2 linked regions of the Schizosaccharomyces pombe genome follow. The gene in region 1 interacts genetically with each later gene. Each region holds a gene or a part of one and is shown on either strand. Other genes may lie near its edges.

The links.
Region 2: of cyk3 (region 1) and chs2, changing one suppresses a phenotype caused by changing the other (phenotypic suppression), as found in Schizosaccharomyces pombe (one study listed by BioGRID).

What each region holds. Positions count from the first base shown.
Region 1 is NC_003424.3:1,973,936-1,987,291, reverse strand, and holds cyk3 (cytokinesis protein Cyk3), read left to right. Parts: upstream 1-5,142; 5' UTR 5,143-5,184; coding exon 5,185-5,251; exon of another isoform or gene 5,252-5,334; coding exon 5,335-7,928; 3' UTR 7,929-8,230; coding exon of another isoform or gene 8,231-8,653; 3' UTR 8,654-8,699; coding exon of another isoform or gene 8,700-9,641; 3' UTR 9,642-9,690; coding exon of another isoform or gene 9,691-9,736; 3' UTR 9,737-9,842; coding exon of another isoform or gene 9,843-9,888; 3' UTR 9,889-9,928; coding exon of another isoform or gene 9,929-10,030; 3' UTR 10,031-10,100; coding exon of another isoform or gene 10,101-10,224; 3' UTR 10,225-10,285; coding exon of another isoform or gene 10,286-10,390; 3' UTR 10,391-10,538; downstream 10,539-13,356. Other genes in the region: PAK-like GC kinase Sid1, read right to left, coding at 64-1,362, 1,419-1,535; putative mitotic spindle organizing protein Mzt1, read left to right, coding at 1,748-1,942; SPOM_SPAC9G1.08C (phospholipase), read left to right, coding at 1,999-2,724; SPOM_SPAC9G1.07 (Schizosaccharomyces specific protein), read right to left, coding at 2,854-3,039, 3,085-4,110; actin cortical patch component Aip1, read right to left, coding at 8,231-8,653, 8,700-9,641, 9,691-9,736, 9,843-9,888, 9,929-10,030, 10,101-10,224, 10,286-10,390; translocase Oxa101, read right to left, coding at 10,742-11,086, 11,163-11,913, 11,979-12,007; rpl3001 (60S ribosomal protein eL30), read left to right, coding at 13,238-13,356. UniProt on the Schizosaccharomyces pombe protein: Involved in cytokinesis.
Region 2 is NC_003423.3:1,091,894-1,102,914, forward strand, and holds chs2 (chitin synthase-like protein 2), read left to right. Parts: upstream 1-3,327; 5' UTR 3,328-3,464; coding exon 3,465-5,464; intron 5,465-5,511; coding exon 5,512-6,292; 3' UTR 6,293-6,335; downstream 6,336-11,021. Other genes in the region: SIN3 family co-repressor, Clr6 and Rpd3L histone deacetylase complex subunit Pst3, read right to left, coding at 1-2,623, 2,715-2,760; vrs1 (valine--tRNA (Val) ligase Vrs1/Vas1), read right to left, coding at 6,407-9,187, 9,319-9,392, 9,452-9,503, 9,544-9,579; SPOM_SPBC1709.03 (uncharacterized protein), read left to right, coding at 10,421-10,481, 10,527-11,021. UniProt on the Schizosaccharomyces pombe protein: Plays a role in septum formation. Has no chitin synthase activity.

The sequences.
Region 1 (13,356 bases):
TAAGTTCATTTAAATACAAAATTGTGAATGCTGTAAACAGGTTGTTTACGAGTTTTTAGTAAGCTATCCATTTAGACTTCTTCTTTTCTCAGTTTCTTCAAGCCACCGTGAAAATAGTAGTTGTGATATGGGGCTCCGCTTTTGCTTTTTGTGATGCAGTCTGTTGTCTGGAGTAATTTGGTTAACAAATTTTGAGGACAGATTTTTATCTAAAGAAATGAAAGATGTATAAAAAGATTCTAAAGATGAGCGCTGCGTTGCTGACAATTTATCATTTAATAACATCGATCGTATGGTGGACTTAATATAATGTTTCATAGCAAAATCGGAAGTCAACGATTTATGATAAGAGCTACCTTTTTCAGACAATGACTTGGAAAAAGGATGCGGTGTCGCTTGATCACTCATTATAGTTTTCTCTAAATATTTTATTGATGAAGGCAATTCCTCTTTATTTTGTGAACTGATGATGGAATTTTTAGGAATGCTAGTATTCCCTAACACAGTTGAGTCAGATTTCTTTACAGTTTCAAATGTCCAATCCTCAATGTCAGCATTTCCTTCAGCAATTGGTTCTTCAAAGGGCTTTAAAGTATTATTTATGGTTTCTTCCAATACACTTTGATCCGAATCATCAAATAATTTATTCTCCTTCTGAACAAGCAAAGGAATAATGTCTTTCACAGTTCCTGCGCTTTTGATGAATGGGTGTTGAAGGAGTTCTTTAGCTGACCATCGCATATTAGGATTGAGATCTAAGCAGCAGGACACAAAATCACGGAATGTTGGACTGAAATGATCATCTAGCTTTGGAGGCTCGGATTGAGGAATTTCAAAGATGACACGCATTGGATGCATTGTAGCGCGGGGCGGAATTCCGTTAGCCATTTCAATAGCCGTAATTCCAAGAGACCAAATGTCAGCAGCTAAACCATAACTTGTTTGTTGTATTACTTCCGGTGCCATCCAAAATGGCGTTCCAACAAACGTGTGTCTACGCGAAGCAGCGTTCGAAAGTTGAGCGGCAACTCCAAAGTCAGCAAGCTTTACGTTTCCGGTAGAGGAAGATAGTAGTATATTGGCGGCTTTGATATCTCTGTGGATTTTGTTTTGTCCATGAAGATAATTTAGCCCATAAAGGACCTCTCGAAGAATGATTGAAATTACTTGTTCATTCAACCTTCCCATTTTCAAAAGTCCCGAAACTGATCCTCCATCCATATGCTCCATCAAAATCCATAATGTGTATCCGTCAACAAAACAACCGTAATACTGAATTACATTGGAACTGTTGCAATTCGATAACATAAATACCTCTTGTTCGATGTCGGTAATGTCGTCAATACCTGTTTCTAAATCAATCTGCAACTGTAAGTTTTTTGTGATACTAAAGAAGAGTAAAAATTAATTAGTCTTACCTGTTTAATAGCGATAATGTCGCCAGACACATTTTCACGTGCTTTCCAGACAACCCCAAATGAACCTGATCCTAATTTCCGTAGCAGAGTATAAGAATTAGCATTGAGAGGATACATTTCATCAATATTTTGACTGCTCAAATCTGAGGTTGAGCCTACTTTCGGTTTCGTTTTACAAGCACAAGCTAGATGCACCACGAAGTACTTTGTTTATTACTTAGAGGATTATAATGAGCTACTCCGAGACGCCTATTCCAGTAAACTTAACATTACCAACTTGTTACGAAGTATATATAATTAGACTAGTTTATTATAAAGTATCGAGTTTTATGTCTGAATCTACCAAAGAGACAATAGAAGTTTTATACGAAATAGGAACATTGCTTGGAACTGAACTTGATAAAACAACGCTTTCACTCTGCATCAGTCTTTGTGAAAACAACGTACACCCAGAAGCAATAGCTCAAATAATTCGGGAAATACGTATGGCTCAGGAACAAACTGTTGACACAGAACCAAGTTAATGGCAAGAAGTTTAATCTCAATAGTTGACCTCGGGGTTTAGTATTTCTTTTATCTAATGTCTTCTTTAAACAGTGTTCTACCTTCAAATGCATGCGCAGAGATTATTGAAGGGAAAGACAAGGTTCACAATGTAGTTATTTTAATGCATGGACTTGGAGATTCTCACAAGAGTTTTGCAAATATGGCAAAGAACGTTCCGTTGCCCAACACTAGTTATATTTCCTTACGTGGACCATATCGATTACCATTAGATTTTGAAAATCCTGGAGGCAATTGGATGTGGGGAGAGGATGTCCATTTTGATCAAAACGGGGAACTGCAATCTGAAGCCGATTTCTCTAAAAGTTTTACGATGATTTCAAATTTAATTGGCAATCTACTCTCTTACGGTATATTATCTTCTAGAATATTTTTTTTCGGGTTTGGTCAAGGAGCTATGGTTGCTTTATATAGTTGTTATAAATTGTCTACTAAATACCAGCTTGGAGGGATATTTTCCTTTGGAGGTACTCTACCGCTATCCATAACTTTGCCCAATCATCCATTTCATGTTCCAGTGTATTTGTTTGAAAAGCGATTGCATTGTTCATGCAGCGAATATGAAGAATCGCGATTACGTAAAACATTTAAACCATTTCACCTCACATGTTGGAATCGTGATGATAAAACTGACATGCCTTCATCCCCTAGAGAATGGTATACATTCGTTCAATCTATTAGTAAACATTTGTATATTCACAACACGTTGTTTGAAGATGCAATTCCTCTTACATCTTTTTAGAATTGATTTATTTAAGTTAACATTTGTTCACAATAAAGTTAATATTCATTTGGGCATAGATATAACAATAACTCCTCTAGCCATTATGTGATTAAAATTAGTACGTTTACCTTTTGATCATTAAGATTTTCAATCGACAAGATAACTAAGATCCGGAAGCTTATCAACAATTCTATTAATTAGTTGATTTTGGTCAACTGTTTTTATATTTCCACGCCCTGCTCTCTCATTATTAAGAAACGAAGTATTGATCGATTGAATAACAGCCGGAGTGTCTTTAGGAGCTGACAATGAAGTAGAAGGTGAACTAAAATTCTGAAAAATTAGAGTATTTGGCTCAACTTGAGACTCTTCACTTACATCATCAACGGAAGCAGAAGCTAAATTCGATGAGTTTTTCGAGGTATCTTGGGAACTGACCCATGAACCCCATTCAAAATTATCAGAGGTTGGATCCGGGGAAAGAGACGTTGATGAATTTTTTTTCTTCGTTTCTCTAATTTTTTCTTCAGAGTCAAGTTTAGCGATTGATGAATGTTCTTCGACTTCATCAACTTTTTTACGATCCAAACTTAGTGGTGATTTTGGAACAACTTCATCCTCTTTATTTATTGAAATTGTAGAACAACTGTTGCTTTCCCTCTCAATCAATTTGACTGGGGAAGAAAGGAAAGTATTTGCAGATAATTTGTGATCCTGTTTAACAGCAACTGTATTATTTAAAAGAGCCGTAGAAGAAGAATAATCCTTGGGAATTTCATTCGATGATAAATTAGAAAAATCAAGTATATCTGAAGGAACATTTATACTGGAAATCTTGGTCGTAGAAAAATTAGATAAAGGAGACTGTTCCGGTAACAAAATATTTTTGTCATTGATGGGCGGTGTGACAGGTGAATTGGTATAGCTTGCTGTTTTCCTTTTCTGCTTCTGATAAGCTGTTGACCAACAAAAAAGCACATTGCTTTTTCGATTTACATTAGACCGTTCTTGGTTCCATAAAGTCATATGTTCTTTAAGTAAACGACTAATGGTTCCTTGTTTTAGTTCTCCTAAACTTTTCTCATTGTATCCTAAGCGGATTAATTGTCTAAAATTGGTTTCCGAGGTAGCTGTAATACCTATATAATCTTTGGATGCCAATGAAATCCGTTTAGGAGGCTTGACAACGCCAAATGTGTAATCCAACTTTTCATTAATATCTTTCAAATTAAATGTGTCAAGATTGAGAGCATTTTCTTTCCAGACTGATGCCTCCATTGAAAAACTGACATCGTTAGTAATTGAGGGAATTGCTGAATTCGAGTTGGATATATTTTCACTACCCCATGCATTATGAGGATTAGAGGCGTTCGAAAAACTAACAGAGTTCAGCAAATCATCCATATAAATCACATTCCAGTTCTTTAAGTTGTAGATTCTCAATTTAATAATATATGAGTGGATAAAAAAAACGTAGGTGCCATCAACTTCGGGTTAAAAAGAAAACAAAAAGAGCCTTAACTATACTTCTTTTATAAAAGGAACCTTTTTAGAGTATTAGTATAAATGCTCAAGATGAGTTGAAAGCGGTTCGGCTAGGGTAAGCGACTTAAGCCACCACATCGTGTGCAACGCAAGTAGGCAACTTAAATCCGTTCAACGTATTTAGTGTGAAATTAAAAATAAAATAAACTCAATTAAATTTCCGGAAGAAGAATAAATTTTATAAGTAATCATTTTAAAATAGGACAGAGTTTTTTAACAAATTTTAAGCTAGTAAACAATTAATCTAATACTCTGGCGAAAGTTGCTAGCTTTATTAAAGAGGAATCTCATATGGACTGAAGCATCGTGCAAATTTTTGAAAATTACATTTGGTAAATTAAAACCTAGATTATTTCATCTAAATAATATGGCTTAAAGTGCGCATAAATATGGATGCTGGTTTCAAATCATTTGAATATTATGTCTTGTGCAAAAAGCTCTTTAAAAAAATTACAGAAGTGCAAATGTACCACATATTTCAAGTTAAAATGAACCCTTCTAGGACTTCTAACAATTTTAGTAAATTTTCTCACTAAATCAATTATAATCTACATGAAATGAATCTAACATCGCACTCTTTATCGTTAAAGAATGTTTCATGGTAGCCAAATATCTTTCTTTTTTTAATTTTCCTAAAATGAAATTCTAGTATGGTTGAATTTATTACCGATCTGCATTTTATCGAGTATTATTGAAAATATTTCCATTTTTTAATTGTGCGCTAAGTATATAAGTCGCGTTATTAGAAAAATTATGATGTACTCGGTTAATTGAGCTCTAAAAAAAAAACAAAGTTATTAGTGTACTTCGCTTAAATAAGAATCTTATCTTCACATTCATACACAACTCACATCACGTTACGGAACTTCCGCTCCGCTCGTTTTTTATATTAACTACCAAAGACTATAATTTCATTCCTTTAAGCCTTCAGGAATGTCCATTCCTAAACAACTACCATGCATGGTACGTGCTCTGTATGCATGGCCAGGTGAACGTGAAGGTTCGTAACATTTAAAGATGCTGTTAAGTAACGTCGCAATTATTGATGTAAAGTTTAAAAAATATATATTAATGTGTTTTCAGGTGATTTAAAATTTACAGAAGGAGATTTAATAGAATGCTTAAGCATAGGTGATGGAAAATGGTGGATTGGCAGACATATCAATACTAATACACAAGGGATATTTCCTAGCAACTTTGTTCACTGTTTAGATATTCCCACGGTACGACCTGGCAGTTCTATGTCAAGAACTAGCGCTTCTAGCTTTAGATATTCTTCTCCTCAAAAAAGCTCTATAGACACCCCAATAACTTCATCTGATCAAGGTCTAACTCCTGATCTCGTTGGAAGCTCAAATGCTTTGAATAAACCAACCCGAGAGAGTGACTCACTAAAACACCAAAAAAGTCACCCCATGCTCAATTCGCTAGGATCAAGTCTGTCACTTAAGAAAAGCGTATCTAGACCGCCATCTTCAATGTCTCGTACCAACTTAGATGTCTCTTCCAGATGGGACAATACAGCCGATAACGACTCTCAGATTGATGCCCAAGATTTAAGTAGATCTACACCTTCCCCTTTAAGAAGTGCTATGGAAAATGTTCTTCAATCGTTAAATGCAATGGGCAAAAAAAGTTTTAGTCGAGCGAATTCCCCTCTTTTAAGACTTACGAAAAGCACTACAACTAGCAAAGAAACGGACTTCATTCCTGTCCCTCCTGCACATGGGTCCACAAGTATGACTTCTCGATCCAAGCTGGATGATTCAACAGATAATTCGTCAAAACCAAGAACAAGTTTGCAACCAGGAGAATCACCTATGAAGTCTTCAAGAGATATTTCTAGAAAACCTTCCATGGCTTCATCAGTTTTATCTCCGTCTGATTATTTTCCGCAGCACAGGCGTTTTCAGAGTGCTCCCGCACCTATTCCCAGACCCGTTTCAACATTGATACCACTAACTCAAGTTCGGACCACCGCGTCGAATGTTATAAAGCCAAGACCGCAAACAACGGAGCGACCCTCAACTGCTCAATCGTTTAGAAAAGGTGGTGGATTTTTAAAAAAAACTTTCAAAAAGCTTTTGCGTCGTGGATCGTCAAAACGTAAGCCCAGTCTCCAACCAACTCCTCCGGTAAGTTATCCGGCGCACAATGTTCCTCAAAAAGGTGTTCGTCCTGCATCGCCTCATACATTAAAATCAGTAAAAGATGATTTGAAACGTACAAAGACATACACGAAAGCCGAGTTTGCGGCGAAACGGGAAGAAATCTTCAATAAGCTTTCGATGCCGGTATATGAACCATTGAAGGATCTCAGTGAATGTATTGGGAATGTTTTAGCCGACGGCGAGCCAGTGCAGTTCTCTGTAGGTACTAATATTCATAACATGAATTTTAGTGCTATTGATAAACAAATAAGGTCAATTATTCCACAACGTGTCCAGGTCAGTCCTGCTGTACTTGCAAAAAATTATTTAGCTCCAGGACAAACGACTGCGCTCGCTCAAATGAGAGCCGTCTTTATATATATTTCTGAACGTATTACGTTCACTAATCAAACTTTGGACAATGATGAATTACGCACAAGTACACAAGTAATTTCCGAAGGACAGGGAACTCCTTTTGAAGTTGCACTGTTGGTTAAAGAAATGTTGCAAGCACTAGATTTATGGTGTGAGGTTATCGAAGGATATCTTAAATCACCAGATGACATCTATTATACCAGAGATATTAATATAAATCATGCTTGGAATGTTGTTACATTTGACAATGAGGTTCGTCTAATTGATGCTAGTTTTGCCAGTCCAACACACCCACAGCAGGCCTTGAAATCCAGCAGCTCCAATGATTTTTATTTTTTAATGAAACCAAACGAGTGTATATTTACTCACGTACCTGAGAATCCGGACCAGCAGTTTATAATGCCAGATTTGTCTATGCCTATAGTAATGGCATTACCTTGGGTATCGTCTGTGTATTTTACTTTAGGATTGAAGTTGCGTAAATTCAATACCAGTATTCTACATTTAAATGACCTTGAAGTTTTACAAATCGAATTTTTAGCTCCAAAGGATATTGAATGCGTTGCTGAAGTTGATGCTCTATCTGCTTTAGCACCTACTGCTGATGTTTCACAGTGTTATAAATACACGTTAACACAGGCTTTCTGGGAAACTCCGGATATTCGTGTTATGAGAGTTAAAGCTGTTATGCCTGCTAATAATCGTGCTGCGGTGCTAAGGATATACGCTGGTCGCTTAGGAGTCTCTAGTCCCGTGAGGACTGCACCTCATCCTATGGCAATGTCTCTTCCATTTGTACATCATGGCAAAAATAAAGCTCTAGAGTTTGTGACTCGTCATCCTGTACCACATTGTCCATCGGTTGATTTGTATATTAATTCCCCCCAATGTGGTACATTGCATTCTGGTGTTGAATACAAATTTAATGTTTCGGCCTATGCCTGCCAGCCATCTACCTCCATTAGCAATACCAGATTAGCAATACAGACCCCGACGGGAAACATTGTGCGTTTAAGAGAAGAACGATCTGGAAATGGCGTTATTTTTTTCAGCCTTTCCTTAACAATTAATGAAACAGGAGAATACAGAGCTTTAATTTTGGCTGAAAAGATAGGAAGATGGGTAGTCTATGCAACCTGGCAGGCGGTTTAAATAATTTCAAATCTTGCGACTTTATCCTATAAATTTTCCTATAAATAATGTCTGTTCTGTGTAATATTGAAGGTTGATGTTTACAACTAAGTCATTATTCATTTAATGTTTTTAATATATATCTATTACTATTGGAATCGTGATGTCCAAGCTTAACTGTATTCCCTTTGTTTCTTAATTTTAATGATTATAATAATGAGAAAGTTTTAACTATTAGATATGGCATCAGAAAAGCTAACAGTATCTTACAAAAAAAATTTTTTTATTAAAATCTTGCAAAAAATGAGAATTGTACTACGAATTCAAAAGGTCACTGACCATACTTTGATTGCAGCATCACTTCCAGTACTTAAAAGCTCATTTTCAGAAACCCATTCAACTTGGGTAGCTCCCAATGAGTGAGCATTTTTCATCGCAATATATTTCATGGGTCGTTCTACTGAATAAATGTGAATGTTGGTGTCTAATGAAGCGGTCGCTAAATGAGTAGATTTTGCATTCCACGACATTCCTAGAATACGGCCAGTGTGAAACGCCCAGCGAGAAGTAATAACTTCCCGAGAATTGGCGTCATAAAGTACAACCTTCCCTGAGGCATCACCACATGCAAGATACTTTCCATCCGGAGAGTAAGCTAAGCATGTAATCGGTGCTGTTGAATCTTTGCATTGAGCTACTTCACAAAGCTCACCTTTTTCAAGGGTATGGATGTATACACAACAGTCCTAAAAAAGTCAATAATTATATGGAAATTAAAATATGGTATCATACCTCCCCTCCAACGCAAAATTCACTTTTTAAGGGATGCGAAGCAACTGCGCTAGGCTGATAAATAGTCTTGGCTGTAGAAACACCAGTAAGACTACGGAGGACTTGGATATCCGAAACCGTTACCAAAATCAAACAGTCTTCAACCGAGCATACGCCAATAGGTTGGTAGCCAGTTGGAAAAACATTATCTTTCGCGAAACACCCTTGCTTGATATCGATTACCCTTAACGTGTCATCCATGCCAATGGTGATAACATGGTCATCAGCCATTATCATTTGCATGACTTGATTGGTATGACTTTCACCAACCAAAGGGAATGCTTTCTGTTTGCCGATATCCCATGAAAGAACAGTACCATCATATGAGGCAGTATAAAAATGGGTAGCATCAGGTGAAAGTGTAGCGGCAGTGATAGAGCGTTGGTGTCCGTAAATTGTATCAATTACCTTACAGTCCGAAGGATTTAGATATGTTAAGTTTCCCTTTGAGTTAACAACTATTATTAGGTCTTTAGTTGGCCAAACTGTTCCAACTAATTGCTTCTTGTCCGACGAAAGCCATTCGCGAATTAGGGAGCCGGTATTAGCATCCCATATTTTGCAACTGTAACCCGCAGAAGATGTGACAAATTGAGATGAATCTGGAGACCAAGAAATAGAGAAAATGGACCCCTTATGAGCATCAATTTCATAGACCTGATCTCCTGTTTTCCCGTCGAAAACATAAACCTTACCGTCGGCTCCAGCTGAAGCAAATCTTTCATCGTTAGGAGAGTAACGGACATCATAAACGAATTTGGAGTGAACGCGTAAACTTCGGTTGAATCTATAAGGAGTACCGTGAAAAAAATTGATGGAATTATCATCAGATGCAGTAGCAGCACGGAACGGTCTACTCTTGCGCAAAGAAACAGCATTCACTACGCTCGAATGTCCAAAAATCTGTAACCGTTAACATTTTAAGGAAGTTGGAGACTAATAAAACCCTTACTTCACCAACAGAATTACCAGAGTCAGCGGTGAACGCGTGTCCATATCTGTTAAAAGTAAGATTAGCAAGAGTCAACAAATATTGGAATTTTTGAAATTATGAGTAAATCCAATAATTTAACACATCCTTCGAAAACAATAGAAATCACTTACCGCTCTTTACCCTCACCAACAGCTATTATTCTCTGACTGTCTCCGTCTTTTCATCAATTAGCATATTGAAACTTGAACAGGCTTACCCCAGTCTAAATCAGTAATTCGTCCGCTAATAGCAGTAACTTGGTTCTTTAAAATTTTATCTTCTCCAGCACAATCCCATATGCGGACGTTACCTTGATTGTCTATAGTTGATCATTAGTAACGTTTAAAAATAAAAACTTAAGAAATAATAGCAATAATTAGCATTCGTACCGCCAGAAGCTACATAATATCCAGAAGGGCTAAATCGTGCTACAGTTGTAGGAGCAGTATGCTCATTATATTGAAAGCAGTTTTCCTGTTTCTCAATTTCACGAATTATTATCGCTTTGTTAGCCTAAAAACTATTTAGTAAATGTTCTTTAATCGACCAATTCATACGGATTCGACAAACTTACGGGATAAACAATCCTTTCACCTTTAAAATCAGTGCCAATTTTACAAGGCTGTGAAGGTTTTGTTGAAGGAACTGGCGCCCAAGTTGATTTTAACTGAGAAGACATTGCTCTGTTTTTAATTTATTGTAAGTAGCGAAGATGTGGTTCTATGCAGATGGAGCGTGCTACTAGGAGATATTTGACAATGAAACGAGCAACAGATTACCATATTAAAGAGGCGTATACTTTAGCAGTACATGTCATTGGAATATATGATTTATATAGGGATTAATTTTAATACTACCGTAGAAATCACTTTTTGCAACAATACACAGAAGAACGTTTTTATACTAATGCGGTCAAATAATAACCTAAAACAGTACAATATGACTTTAACGAACATGAATATCAAAATGAAAATTGATGAGTAATTAAAGAAGTAGATATCATGAAAAAAATTTAAGCAAAATTAAAATATCAGTTACTTTGCTTCTTTGAATTTTTCTTACTACGGTTAAGTTCCTTGAGCTTTTTATAATGAGAATTAGGTCGAATGGTTGAAGCTGAAGTAGTAGCAACAGCTCGTCTTGATACATCCTTCTGCAATTGCTCATACTGAGTTTTAAAACCGTCACGAACTCCTTTGTAAAACTCTTTTAAGGATTTAATAGGGTTTGTAATCAAAGTAAAGCCTGAAGGTTGCTTTTCTATTATTGATGGTAGCGGAGCGAAGCCAAGTTTACTTCGAACAACGGGATTTTTTAGAATATAACCTTGCACTATATTAAACAGACTGCTGGGTATCCAATACATAAATATTGCCTATTTGATCTTTGGTTAGTTATTCTTCTAAGATAAAGGCTTAAAACAGATTTGACTATTTTGAAAATTCACGTACGGCTGGAAGTTTAGCAGTTAAGAGAGGGCTTAAAAGACAGCACAAAAAGAAAAAAGTTCTCCAGTTGGTAGAATTCCCTATAGTAGATGCAGTATTTGCACGATTCATCTGCATTCCAGAAAACATAAGTCCGGCATTAATAATGGGAAGAATGCAATAAGGATCAGGTATTGACAAATCTTTAAACCATGCAAGTCCTCCAGTGGTAAAACCGTCTACCGACAAACGAGACATCTTTCTAATTGCATAAAAAAAACTAAAGAAAACGGCACTCTGGGTCAAAGGAAGAATAAATATAGCAAAAGGATTAACATTGTGCTTTAAATATATGCCTCGCAAGGCAATGCTATGTTGATTTAAAGCAAGCTGATCATTATCCAGTTTTGCTGTTTTAATCGCCTCTAGTTCTTTTTTCATCTCAGGCTGTATAACGGACAGCTTCGTGCTATTACGAAATGAAGCTATCATAACTGGAGTAAGGGCCAAACGAACCCCCAAAGTTGTGAGTATGATAGAAACCCACCAAGGAGCTCCTGCATATACATTAATCGTGTAAGCAGTATTTTGGATTAGAGCATAAGGCCACCACGATGGGTTGAACCCAGAAGTAGCTGTACTAACTTCAGCGAGTACATTGGTAGAAGAGGGTCGAAATTGAAACCCCAATCTTTTTGATAGAATAGTTTTAGATTGTAATCTTTTTCTCAGAAAACTAGAAGTGGAGTTAAAATGGGGGCTTCCAGCGCATCGCCTAAATTGGTCAATTACCAAGCATTCAATATATCAAGTTTTTATAGTTTTTTTGTAAACACTTACGTTGAAGGTCTAATTAGAAAATGTAACATTGCTTCAACTAATAGTTTATAATTCGAGATTAACTAGTCTTCAAAAATAGATTAGTCCATATGATAATATATATTATACGATCGGGAGAAGTTAAGTCGTCCTTCATATTCTTATACGGGTGGATTTAAGTGGACAAGGTGCTTGTGTTAAATCAATGATATACATTTATTGTTTGGATTTTTATTTTTTTATTTTTTTTTTTTTATTTGATAATATTTCGCCCAAACGAACGTGTTGCATTTCATTAAGTTTCTGGATTTTTCATGGTATGTGCATATTATTACGACAGTTTGACTATTTAGAACCAAATAAATGTTAGCAAAATAACAACAAAAGAAATACATAGAGAGAATTGAATTTTTTATAAATTATTCGAATTTTGAATACCCTTTAGTAGAAATGGGGTAATCGGGATGTGCTAAAAATATACTGAAATACTTAAACATTCCATAAATAATTTTTTTAAGCCATTTTAATTGAATAAATATTTGCGACTGAGGTTTTAGAGATAAGTGATTTAAATTCTGCATTGAAAAAAAAGCAAAAATTTATCAGTATAAGTGAGCCTTCCATTACATTCTCTTAGCTACCGTTAATTAAAATTTGAAAATGAAAAAAAATATATATATATATATTAAAAATTTAGTGTTTATAAAACGTGAGCTACCATCTGAACTCAAACGCTAAAAATATGACAAACATTTCATAATATGTCTTTAAGCAATCAATCTCATGAGACTTATAAATCGCAATTTTTAAATTAAAATTTTATAATCACTTTACTGTGGATGAACTGTAATTGCCTTCTTTTGTAACATGCTACCGTTTATTTTTTATGTACTACTGCATTATTAAATTTGAATAAACCGACGTATCAAAGCTTCAGTTATGTATAATTTTGAGCTTAATTACAAGTTTAGTTTTTATTTTTATATGAAATAGCTATAACTTGAAAGGTACGATTATAGGATTGGAGATAGTAAAGCCAATTATCAGAGCCAACTCCTGCCCTTAAAATAGTAACAAATAGTAGAGATTAATAAATTGAAAAATAGAAGGTCAGAAAACTAACTTATTAAATGAAATCCATAATACAATATTCTTATGAATAGCTCAACTTGAAAGTTGAGATCTTTAGGGTAGGGTTTGAAGCAGTCACATTTTAATTTGTCCTGAACAATTATGAAGCATAAGTTTTCTAGCACCACCTTTCTCCAACAAAAGTAAAAATGGCATCTGTGGTTACCAAGAAGTCTAAAAAGAGCGGAGACACTATCAACGCCAAGCTTGCACTTACCATGAAGAGTGGCAAGTATGTCTTGGGTTACAAGTCTACTTTGAAGACCCT
Region 2 (11,021 bases), on another chromosome or scaffold:
AAAATATTCTCGTAACCCCCTGTGCTTGAAGCATATATAGTCGAAGATTCAACAAACAACTTGATATGCTCTAGCCGAGAATAGCAGACACATATCAATCTAAACAGAACATACATTGTAGCATTCCCAAAAAAATTGTAGCCAATTATGTTTTTCGACTCTTCACCAAGAAATTTAGATTTCGAATGATTTTCAACATCGTCAGGATGTATATCACTCATAGTTTCATCTTCAGTTTGAGTTTCATCGGTTTGAAAACTCACATTGGTGTTATTACTATTATCAGCACTTTCGGGACGAATAAATATTTTGCTTAAACCATCTCTGTGTTTTTTAACCGATTCAATATTTTCAGAAGCAAGGTTAGTCTCAAGTGCTTCGCGAGGTAGCGGAATGCCAAAAAATTGCGATAATAAAGCTTTCAAAACAGCACTAATTCGACCCTTGTCAGCGTATGAATAAAAAGAAGAGTTTGTTAACTGAGCATCACTTAGCCGCAAAATATTCAAAAATATGAGACTATCACATAAAACTTGGGTAAACTGAAACCCCAACTTGGCCCCATCGATCCGATGCTTTTGTCGTTGATAAATGTCATCAATATCGCGAAGAATACGGCTATAAGATAATCCTCTACGGTCTCTCCCTTCTATTCTGCAATATCTGTCGTCAAATGCTGCTTGAGCATTTTTCTTTTCGATTTGCCGCCAAATTTTACTCCACTCTCGCTTGCTTCGTCTCCATTCTTGATCTTTGGTTTTAATACGTTTCAGAAGTACAGGAGCCGCAGTGGGTAATTTTTTAAATAAAGTGTCAAGAGCCAAATTTGCATGCTCTTTGCCATAAACGATTATAAGGGCGTTCTTAATTATTCGTTTTGATCGCTCGAGTTCTTGAAGGGCGGTTTCTAAATGCTCGTGAATCGTCGGCTCACAAAAGTTTGCAAGTATTTTTATAGCAGACTCGGTAGTATTCAAAACTCTATCGTAATCATACCGTTCGTCTTCTACTAGTTGCAATGCCTGTAGGTACTGATTTTCATGATGCATTATATTTTTGACATGGGATGGTTTGGGAGCTACAGAAATATAATCGTCATTCAAAACAGAATTGTCCAAATCATCACGACCTGAGCATTTGTCCTGTTTCCAGGAATCCGGAAGTTTGCGATAAGTCAGTGAAATGCACTCAAAAGTTTCTGGTAAATAAACACGTTCGTCCACCGGTTCGTTTTTTACAAGTATTGGGTTATCACTCCACCTAATAAATTCGGAAAACCACAATGTCAAATTATCATTTCTAACAAGTTTTGAAAAAGAATTTAATAATTCTGTTTTATCCAATAACTTTTCCCGATAAAGATGAAGAAGCTCAAGGAACTTGTGAAAGGCTAAAGTGTCAGGTAAATGCTGTCTAATCGTTGTGAAGGCTAGTAATTCTTCCTGGGTAGCAGCATAAGGGGACGTGGGAGCAGTGATTTTTTGCGGATATACATGAAGGGAATAAGAGTTCAATGGCTCTTCAGCAGTTTGTCGATACATCCTCGAGGTTTTAGATATCGATCTACTGATTTGGGCAGAATGAGCCGGTCGATTTCTTTTTTCACGTACAGGTGCAGAAGGGGGAAGACTGAAATTCCCAACCGGAGGAAGACGGTTTGGAGATTTCTGAACATTAGGGGTGGATGGCTCAGTTGAATCAACATTATCAGGAAGAAAAAGTTTAAACTCCTCCAACAAATCTGGTGAATCTTTAAAAATTTCAGCGACCCTCGCACGCACTTCAAAAATCGACTTTTGTGCTTTCTGATAAGTGCGCAAAACACCTAAAAATTCCATGTACGTGTCGGAATTTGGTGGATAACGAGCCTTAACTTTGTTCATATAAGCAATCGCATAGTTAAAATCTACCCGAGGCTTCTCGTTTTCAGTACTGGAAACTAAATTTGGAGCAGATGGCTGAGGTTGAGAGTCAGTAGGACTAGTGGATTCCATTGTTCGCTGATCTTCATTAGATGGAGCCACGGGCAATGTACTTTGGACGCCCTGCTGGGGAAGTGGGTGCATAGGAGTACCTACACGTACAACACTAGTGTTTGAAGAGTCCAATTGTACTTCTATTTTGTAACCGGATGGAAGAAACGTGTTAAAGCCTTCAATAAGTTGAGGGTAACCGTTAAACAACTCTGATACACGATTAATAACTCCCAAGGTGTCAAGCGCCTGAGATTTGAAATCGCGCATAATTTCCAAAAATCGATTGTAAATTTCTCGGCGTTCAGAAAAATAATATTTTACTAACTCAAGATAGGAAAGCGCATCGTTCACATCCAAAGGACGATTAGAAGAAGAACTTAATCCTTCTGCATTTTGTGAAGAAATGGAGCCATCTTTACCAGAAATCGATGATAAGGCGAGCGAGGAAACTATGGTTTTTCCTTTTTCGTAATCATCGCGAGTTACACTTCTTTCCGATAAAATCTGTTTGTTTTCAACAGGTTCAGTAGCTACGCCATTATCTTTTCCATCACCATTGTGCAAAGAGGTGTTTACAGGTGACTGGGATTGAGACGGTGACGCTTTTGGTAAATGGTTTTTATCAGATTGTGTCTCAACTTTGTCGCCTATAATATTAGCATTTGTTAAAAACGAACCTCATAAACCAAGATTGTTTCTCGAAATGATGTTTCGCAGAAGAAGCATGTAAAAACTTACCAGGATTGTCGCGTTCTGAGTCGACAGGCACATTCATTACATCCATGGTTAAAAACTCATAAATGCAACAGAAATGACTGCTTTATCTCGATAGTTGCAGTCTTGCAATGTCTGAATCGCGTTACGGGAAAGGTAAGATTGGTTTGTTGTGTTTGACACAAGTAAATGTCATCACGTAACGTGCGTGCTACACACACCTGCCTACCTTAACTAATTTCCAAAACATCAGCAGTTGAGTTGAATTTAAAAATCATTAATTTCATTCTTTGATTAGAGTAAAGAATTTTAATTCATGTTTATTGTGTCAAGAAATTCTGACATCAATTTTTTAGTCGTTTCCTTGCCCCATCTAGCATCTTTGACTGTTCGTTACTTTTGAACGTTGAAAAAATACTATACCCTTTTGCTCATTATTCTCATTTTACGGAGTACGCAGTACAAATTATGGCGCTGCATCTCCTGTACGTTCTCATAGGCTACGCACGCGTTGCATGGCTACCTCGTTACTATGGCATCTGCTTCGTAAACAAACATCGTTTCTAAATTTGTAAACAATGAAATCAGTAACAATTTCGAATGGAATAAAAGCAAGCTGTGGTCCATCATTCTGCTTGTTCTGAGGCTTTGGTATTGATCGTCTTAAGCCCTCTAAAAGCAAGGAATTATCGCTATCTGGAAAATTTATAATATCAAACAACCCAAACACTTTTATTCATTTCTTGCTTTGTGGAAATTTTTGAAAGCATCAACATGAGTTTTCAGAATCCCAGCTATATTAATGCTAAACACCGGTCCTTCTTGCAACCTAAGGACACTCAAGATTCGCAGGATTTACGAAACTGGGTCAGTCACAGTAGTGTAGATGAAGAAACAGCATATTCTAGTTCGACCCTCAGTTCGAGTTCTTCTAAAAGCTTTCCTTGTTACGATGAGTATGATGAGATAAAATCTCCTGACGATCAAAAAGTCGAGTATATGAAGACGTTAAGGACCTTGGAAGAAGATGCTTTTTCTTACACAGATTCAGTTTACGATTTTGAGGAGCGTTCATTTGATGAACACGAGCCACCTATCCCTCCACTTCACAAAACTGGAGTTTTTAGCGTTCCTCTTCAACCAACCCATACTGTGAATAGTAACTCAGACGACGGTTATGAAAATTCCTCCAAGAATGAGTATCTGGACTTTAATTCAGAAATCTCTGCTTCGCCCGTCAATGAACCAATGACGCACAGTCAGTCATACACCTCGATTGATCGCTTGAATTCATCAAGTTCGCACTATTCCAAAGATGTTCCATTATTATGTGGAAGCCTGACTATTGATTGCCCAACGCCAATAGACTTACGTGGCATGCTTGGTCCATTTATGCAAAAAAACCCCGATGAAGCAAGTTTCCTGCGGTATTCGGCCATTACCTGCCAACCAGAAGATATGAATAATAATGGGCTTCAACTACGAACATGGTCCACGGGTCGCGACATTCAAATTGCTGTTTGTCTAACACTTAGCGATGAGGATTTGGCATCTTTTGCCATTTCTCTTTCTAGTATCATGAATAATTTAAAACATCTTTGCTCACGGTCTAAGTCGCGGGTATGGGGAAATGAGAGTTGGGAAAAGGTTTTAGTATGTGTCGTAATTGATGGCCGTAACACTGTTCACCAAAACGTCTTGGACTTGCTTGCATCTATAGGAGTGTATCAACCTCACATTGCTAAAGGGAGAGTAAACGGAAAAAGAACTTTATCCCATATGTATGAATTCACAAGTACCATCAACGTTGATGAGAAACTCAATCTTACAACAGCGACTGGTGACGGAAACGTTCCAATGCAGATGTTACTCTGTGTTAAGGACCGTCGTCTAGGCACTTATAACTCGCATCGCTGGTTTTTAAATGGTATAGCATCGCTTGCTCGTCCCAAGGTTTGTCTCTTTGTTCGTAACGGTGCAAGGCTTGGCCCAACATCTATTTATCATGCGTGGAAAGCTTTTGATGTTGATTCCACTATTGGAGGAATGTGTGGTAAAACTTCGATTGATACAGGAAAGTTTGGCTTTAGACTGTTAAATCCATTCATTGCTTCTCAACATTTTGACCAAATGATCCATAACAATCTTCGCTTACCGTACGACAGCTGCATGGGTTATATTTCAAATGCGCTTAACGCAATTTATGGATTTCGATACGTCGCTTTGCAAGATTCATATCCAAACCCTGGACCACTAGCCGATTATTTCGAGCAAGACCAATATGAAATTCCTAGGAGAGGTATCTTACAATCCAATGCTTTTTTGGCACAAGAACAACTCCTTTTCTGGAAAGTAATCACCCGAAAAGATGCAAAATGGCATTTGCAATATGTACCTGAAGCTTGTGCTACTATTGAAGCGCCCAATTCAATGGCTGGAATACTAGAGTCTAAAAAATCTGAAATTAACAGTAGCTTTAGTCTTGCTGTCTATGTTATAGTTGATTTTTTTTCTTTATGGACTACCCGGCACAAGTTCTTTCGATTCCTTTTGCTCACCGTTCAATCGCTCGTCTTTGCAATTGAGAAGTTGGTGAATTTTTTCTCAATGGCAAATTTCTTTTTGGCCTTCTACTTTGTATGCAATGCCACTTCATACAGCTCATTGAATCCGTATGGTAATTGGGCCCGACCTTTATTTCTGGTTTTCGAATATATTCTAATTTGTTTAATTTTTTCACAGTTTATGCTAGCAATGGGCAATCGACCACGGAGGTATGAATGTTTGTTTTAAAAATTTCTCATATTAACTAATTGTTTAGCTGTCGAGTTTTACTGTTCATTAGTACTGCATTGTTTTCCATTATTATGATTTATTTCGTTTTTTGTGTTTTTTATATTTCATTGATACCATTACACAACTCAGATAATTCTGAAATTGTTTTAGGCAACAATTATTTCACGACCTTAATTTTCTCTTCTTTATTAATTCTAGCATGTTATGCTTTCGTTTCTTTAATTTGTATGGATCCTTTTTTTATCTTTACTTGTATTGTGCAATACATTCTGCTGATGCCAACTCGCATTTATACTGAGCAAATATATGCACTTTGTCATCTTGATGATGCTTCAATTTCGAAGGATGATAACCAGCAAGAATTTAATTTTGACACAGGTATTACCCATTGTTCAATGAACGACGAAGGCTATACTACAATCAGTATTCCAAAAGCCAACGTGTTGAATTCTGTATATAACTCTTCTTTAAAAAATTTCAGTTCTTCTAATGATACTTCGGTTTATCACGATGTTCAGGACCATTGCTATCGGAAGCCACAATCCTATGAGGATCACTACCAAGACATTCGTACTCGTTATGTGCTAGTTTGGGCTGTAAGCAACTTAATTTTAGCCATTGTTCTGATTCAGGTATTCGATGGCATGCGTTTTATTAATAATGGCTACATGAAGTATATATTTTGGAGTATCGTAGCCTTCACTGCTTGGAAAACCATGGGAGCTGTTACATTCATAGCTACCAAGATCATTTCACGAATTGCTAATTGTGTGAAATCAAAACTTTACATTTTTAATGATCCTTAATGATACAACTAAATTTATCTTGTAAATATTTCTTCTATGACCGATATTTTAAAATGAAACAATGTAGGGGATTTATAGTAATTTCAATTACTATACAAGTTTTCGATTGTTAATCTAGTTGTTTCGTTCCAAAAAGATAGTGCTTCCTTCTAAAACCTCGTTTTTAACGCATTTGTCCGAATCAAAAGTATTATCAACGATGCTTAAAGTTTTGCATTTCTTGATAAGACTTTGAATACTGGCAGATTCCGAAGTAATGAGTTTGGAATGTTCTTCATCAGGATGAATGTATACCACAGCATCTGATTTGATTCCATTTTCAGCCATCATTGAACGAGTAGAGTGAACGACAGTAATGATAGACTCGTAATATTTAGCAGCTATCTCGTTAGAATAGTCTACCCTTTCAACTGGGAAAGCAGCTTTAACGATAGTCTGAGTTTTGTCTCCAGGACGACGAGGAAGTCTCTGCCACATCTCTTCAGTAACGTATGGCATAAAAGGATGCATTAAACGAAGAGCGTTGTCAAGGACAGTATAGAGGGTTTGCTTAGCAGATTCTTGTTGTACCTCTGTACCATCACTTAGAAGGTATTTTGAGTTCTCAATGTAAACATCACAAAGTTCATACAACCAAAATTGGTGAACAGCTGAAGTAGCTTGAAGGAAGTTCATTTCTTCCATGTTTTTGTTCATAGCGGCTGCTGCGATGTTCAAGCGGTGGAAAATCCACTTTTCTACAAGTGATTCATTACCAGTAAGATCGGCAGTCTTGTTAGGAACGAAATTAGAACCTAGACGACCCAAAGCAAATTTTGTAGCATTGTACAACTTGTTACAGAATTTACGATATCCTTCAACACGAAGGATATCAAGGTTGAGATCACGACCACCAGTAGTCAAGGAACAGAGGGTAAAACGCAAAGCGTCAGTTCCACATTGAGGTATACCCTTGGGATAGCTCAACCGTTGACCCTTTTTAGCTTTTTCGACCTCTCTGCTGTCGAGATTGCCAACCAAAAGCTTATCATGTAATGCTTGTAGAGAAATACCCTCAATGACATCTATAGGATCCACAACATTTCCCAATGATTTAGACATTTTGCGGCCTTGAGCATCACGAACGAGTGCATGACAAAATACACGTTTAAAGGGAATCTTTCCGGTTAATTTGAGACCCAACATTACCATACGAGCAATCCAGAAGAAAAGAATATCCCAACCTGTTTCCATCAGAGTAGTAGGATAGAAATTTTCATAATCGCTAGTATCCTTTGGCCAGCCAAGGGTAGAAAAAGGCCACAATCCGGAGGAGAACCAAGTATCAAGAACGTCTTCATCCTGTTCTAGTGTGAAAGACTTTCCAGGAAAAGCAGCTTTAGCTTTCTCTTCTGCTTGTTCCAAAGTACGACCAGTAACCCAATAACGGCCTTCACTTCGATCTTGAGAAGGTTCGTCAGCTAAATTTACAAAATAGGCTGGGATACGATGACCCCACCATAATTGACGAGAAATGCACCAGTCTTGGATATTTTCCATCCAGCGAATGAATTCTCGGCGAGACATATCAGGAGCAATTTCGATTTCACCAGACTTTACAACTTCAGCTGCGGCTGCAGCCATCTCTTTTTGATTCACCCACCATTGAGGCTTCATGACTGGCTCAATAATATCCGAAGTCTTCCCACAAAGTGGAATTACCATTGGATTTTCCTTGGTACCAACAAATAAGCCGAGCTCCTTGAGTCGTTCAACAACCTTAACACGAGCAGTAAAACGCTTCATGCCAGCAAATTCTCCACAATTTTCATTGAGAAGACCATCGTCAGTGAAAATATTAATGAACTCCAAATTATGACGCTTTCCAACTTCATAATCGTTAGGATCATGAGCTGGAGTGATTTTAACAGCACCGGTACCAAATTCCATATCAACGATTATGTCGTCACAGATGATAGGAATTGAACGGTTACAGAAGGGATGTTTTACAAATTTACCGTGTAGGTGCTTATAACGAGGATCCTGGGGATGAACAGCAACAGCAGTATCTCCGAGAAGTGTTTCTGGACGTGTAGTAGCAATAACAATTCGTTCGTCAGAACCTTCAACGGCATAAGCGATGGAAGTCAATACACCCACTTCGACGGGTTCATCATATCCAGGGACCTTGAGCAAAGTACGGCCAGGAACGTCAACGTTTTCTACCTCAAGGTTTGATAAAGTTGTTTGTAAAGCAGTACACCAATTCACGAGACGATTAGCACGGTAGATAATATTTTCCTCATGCAAACGAACAAAGGTTTCAACAACGGCACGACTAAGATTTTCATCCATAGTAAAGGCTTCACGAGTCCAATCAAAAGAACCACCAAGTCGAGACATTTGGTTTTTTATACGGTTATGGTATTCTTCTTTCCATTCCCAAACAATGTCAACAAATTTATCACGAGGATAATCATGGCGAGTCTTCTTCTGCGTGTACCAAAGCTTCTTTTCAACAACAGATTGGGTACTTAAACCAGCATGATCGAAACCACCCAGAAACAAAACTGTTTTACCAAGCATTCTGTTCCACCGAGCTAACGAATCTTGAATAGCAATCGTAAGAGCATGGCCAATATGCAAAGCACCAGTGACATTGGGAGGAGGAGATGTAATAACAAATACGCCCTCTTTCTTAGGTTTACCATCAGGACCAAACTCGGGTTCAAAGAAACCAGACTTGACCCACCAGTCATACCAAGCAGACTCAACAGCTTTGGGATTATAGGACTTCAAAGCAGGAGAGTCCAAGTCTTGAAGGACTTTTTTCTCACCAGGAGTGGTCTTTTCGACATACTCGGCAACTGGTGAAGCAATCTTAGCCTTCTTATCAAGTTTAGGCTTTCTTGCCTCCTAATAAAATGATTAGTAACGTTGATGCTATCTAGCTGGTAGTATTCCAATTGAAAATATAAAGGTATAAAGTCATTCACAAATGACAAATGAAAATTCAAAATACTGAATACTCCAAAAATTAAGCATACCTCCTTCGCCTTCTTGGCCGCCAGCTTTGCATGATACTTTTCAAGCTTAGCCGCCTTTTGGCGTTCACGCTCTACTATATAGATGTTAGAAATGATAAGGTGATGCATATGAATTTGTATTTCAACAACTCACATTCTTTCTCGGTTTTAGGCCTAGGCTCACCAGAACCAGGTGCGGAAGAATCCTTCAATTATTAGAAACCAATTGACAAAAGTTCAACTCACCTTAGACTGAGCAGCTTCACAGCCTTTGTCTGCCATTGGAAAAGTGTGTTGTTGAAAGAATTGTTCGGGTGCAATAAAAAGTCACATAACGAACTTGTCATTAAACGTTACAAGTGATTAAAGGATTTGCATTACGCTGCACTCCCCGGTTAACGAATTTTAAGACACTTGAAATCAATAATGAATCCTTGTAAACAGCGTTCGTTATCTACATGTTTTTTTTAATATCATTTAAATTTTTGCATATTTATTAGTATAAATTGAACAGTAGTTGGTTCTCTTTTAATTATGCTTCATCGGTCTCCTTGTTGCTGAGAGCAAAATGTTTGCACTCATCAACAAGCATGGTTTAAATGTCGTCGTTATTGCACTCTTAATAGATGGCTTTTATAGTTGATAGCTATGATTTTGTTAATTTCAAGTAGCAATTTTTAATTTGATTTGTTTAATCTTTGCAAATCAGCAGGAATATCAGCATCACTACAACAAATCAAGGACTATAAAGTAGGATGGAAAAAAGAAGTCCTGAGACAAGATTCAACGTAAAGGTGCAAAAGTTTAATAAAAGAATTTAGTTTATAGCATTGGATTGTTAAAAAATCGTCTTATCGACCAGTAGTATAAAAAGATGAAGTTTTATACATTAGATACAAAAAGTAATAAACGAAATACGAGTCGTTTTATTTAATAAAATGAGAGAAACTATTATTCACGACATCCTCTTTTAAATCAAATTTTTAAAGACTAAACGTACCAGGTATTAACACAGAAGAGTAATGGCAATTACACTTCGTTGGTTGTAACCCAAGGAGCTGCGATCTACCACAAAAGGACTACAGAAGTGCTTCCCTCCACCATCCTTGCGAAATAAACACGTATGAGTCTCCTTAGATATTTTATTTTCTTTATCGGTGGATGTACATTAGCTTTGGCCTCAGGTTCGTCCTAAATAGTTTTAGATTGCGTTTATTAACCAGTTTTAGGTGTTTCATATACTGAGGCTTCAGTTTATATGTCAGGTCTCTCTGGTAATGAAAATGAAGTCCCTTCAATTTCTCCTTCAGATTCCAGGCTTGTATTTGCTCATAAACTGGGCGTATCACGGTTCCACAAGCTGAAATCACATAGCGGTGCTAGAAAAATTATTAATGAAATGCTCCACAGTCATTCTGAGCTTTCTTCTTTTTTTTATGCAGAAAAGTCTAATACTTTTTTGACAATTGCCGGATTGGCGGAGTCTGAACTGTTTGATACTCTGAACCCTGCTTTTCGCATCTCTTCTTGTCCTTCCAGTAATGCATTTGCCAGTTTAATGTGTCGATATGAGCGTCAGCTTGATTCTTTAGATAATGGAAAAACTACTGATATATATTTAAATGACATTGGCGGAGTTATATCAATTCATGATTCAACTGGCGTTTATTCACAAATAACTACTACTCCCTATAAATCTTTAGAAGATTACGAGCAGCTTTTTG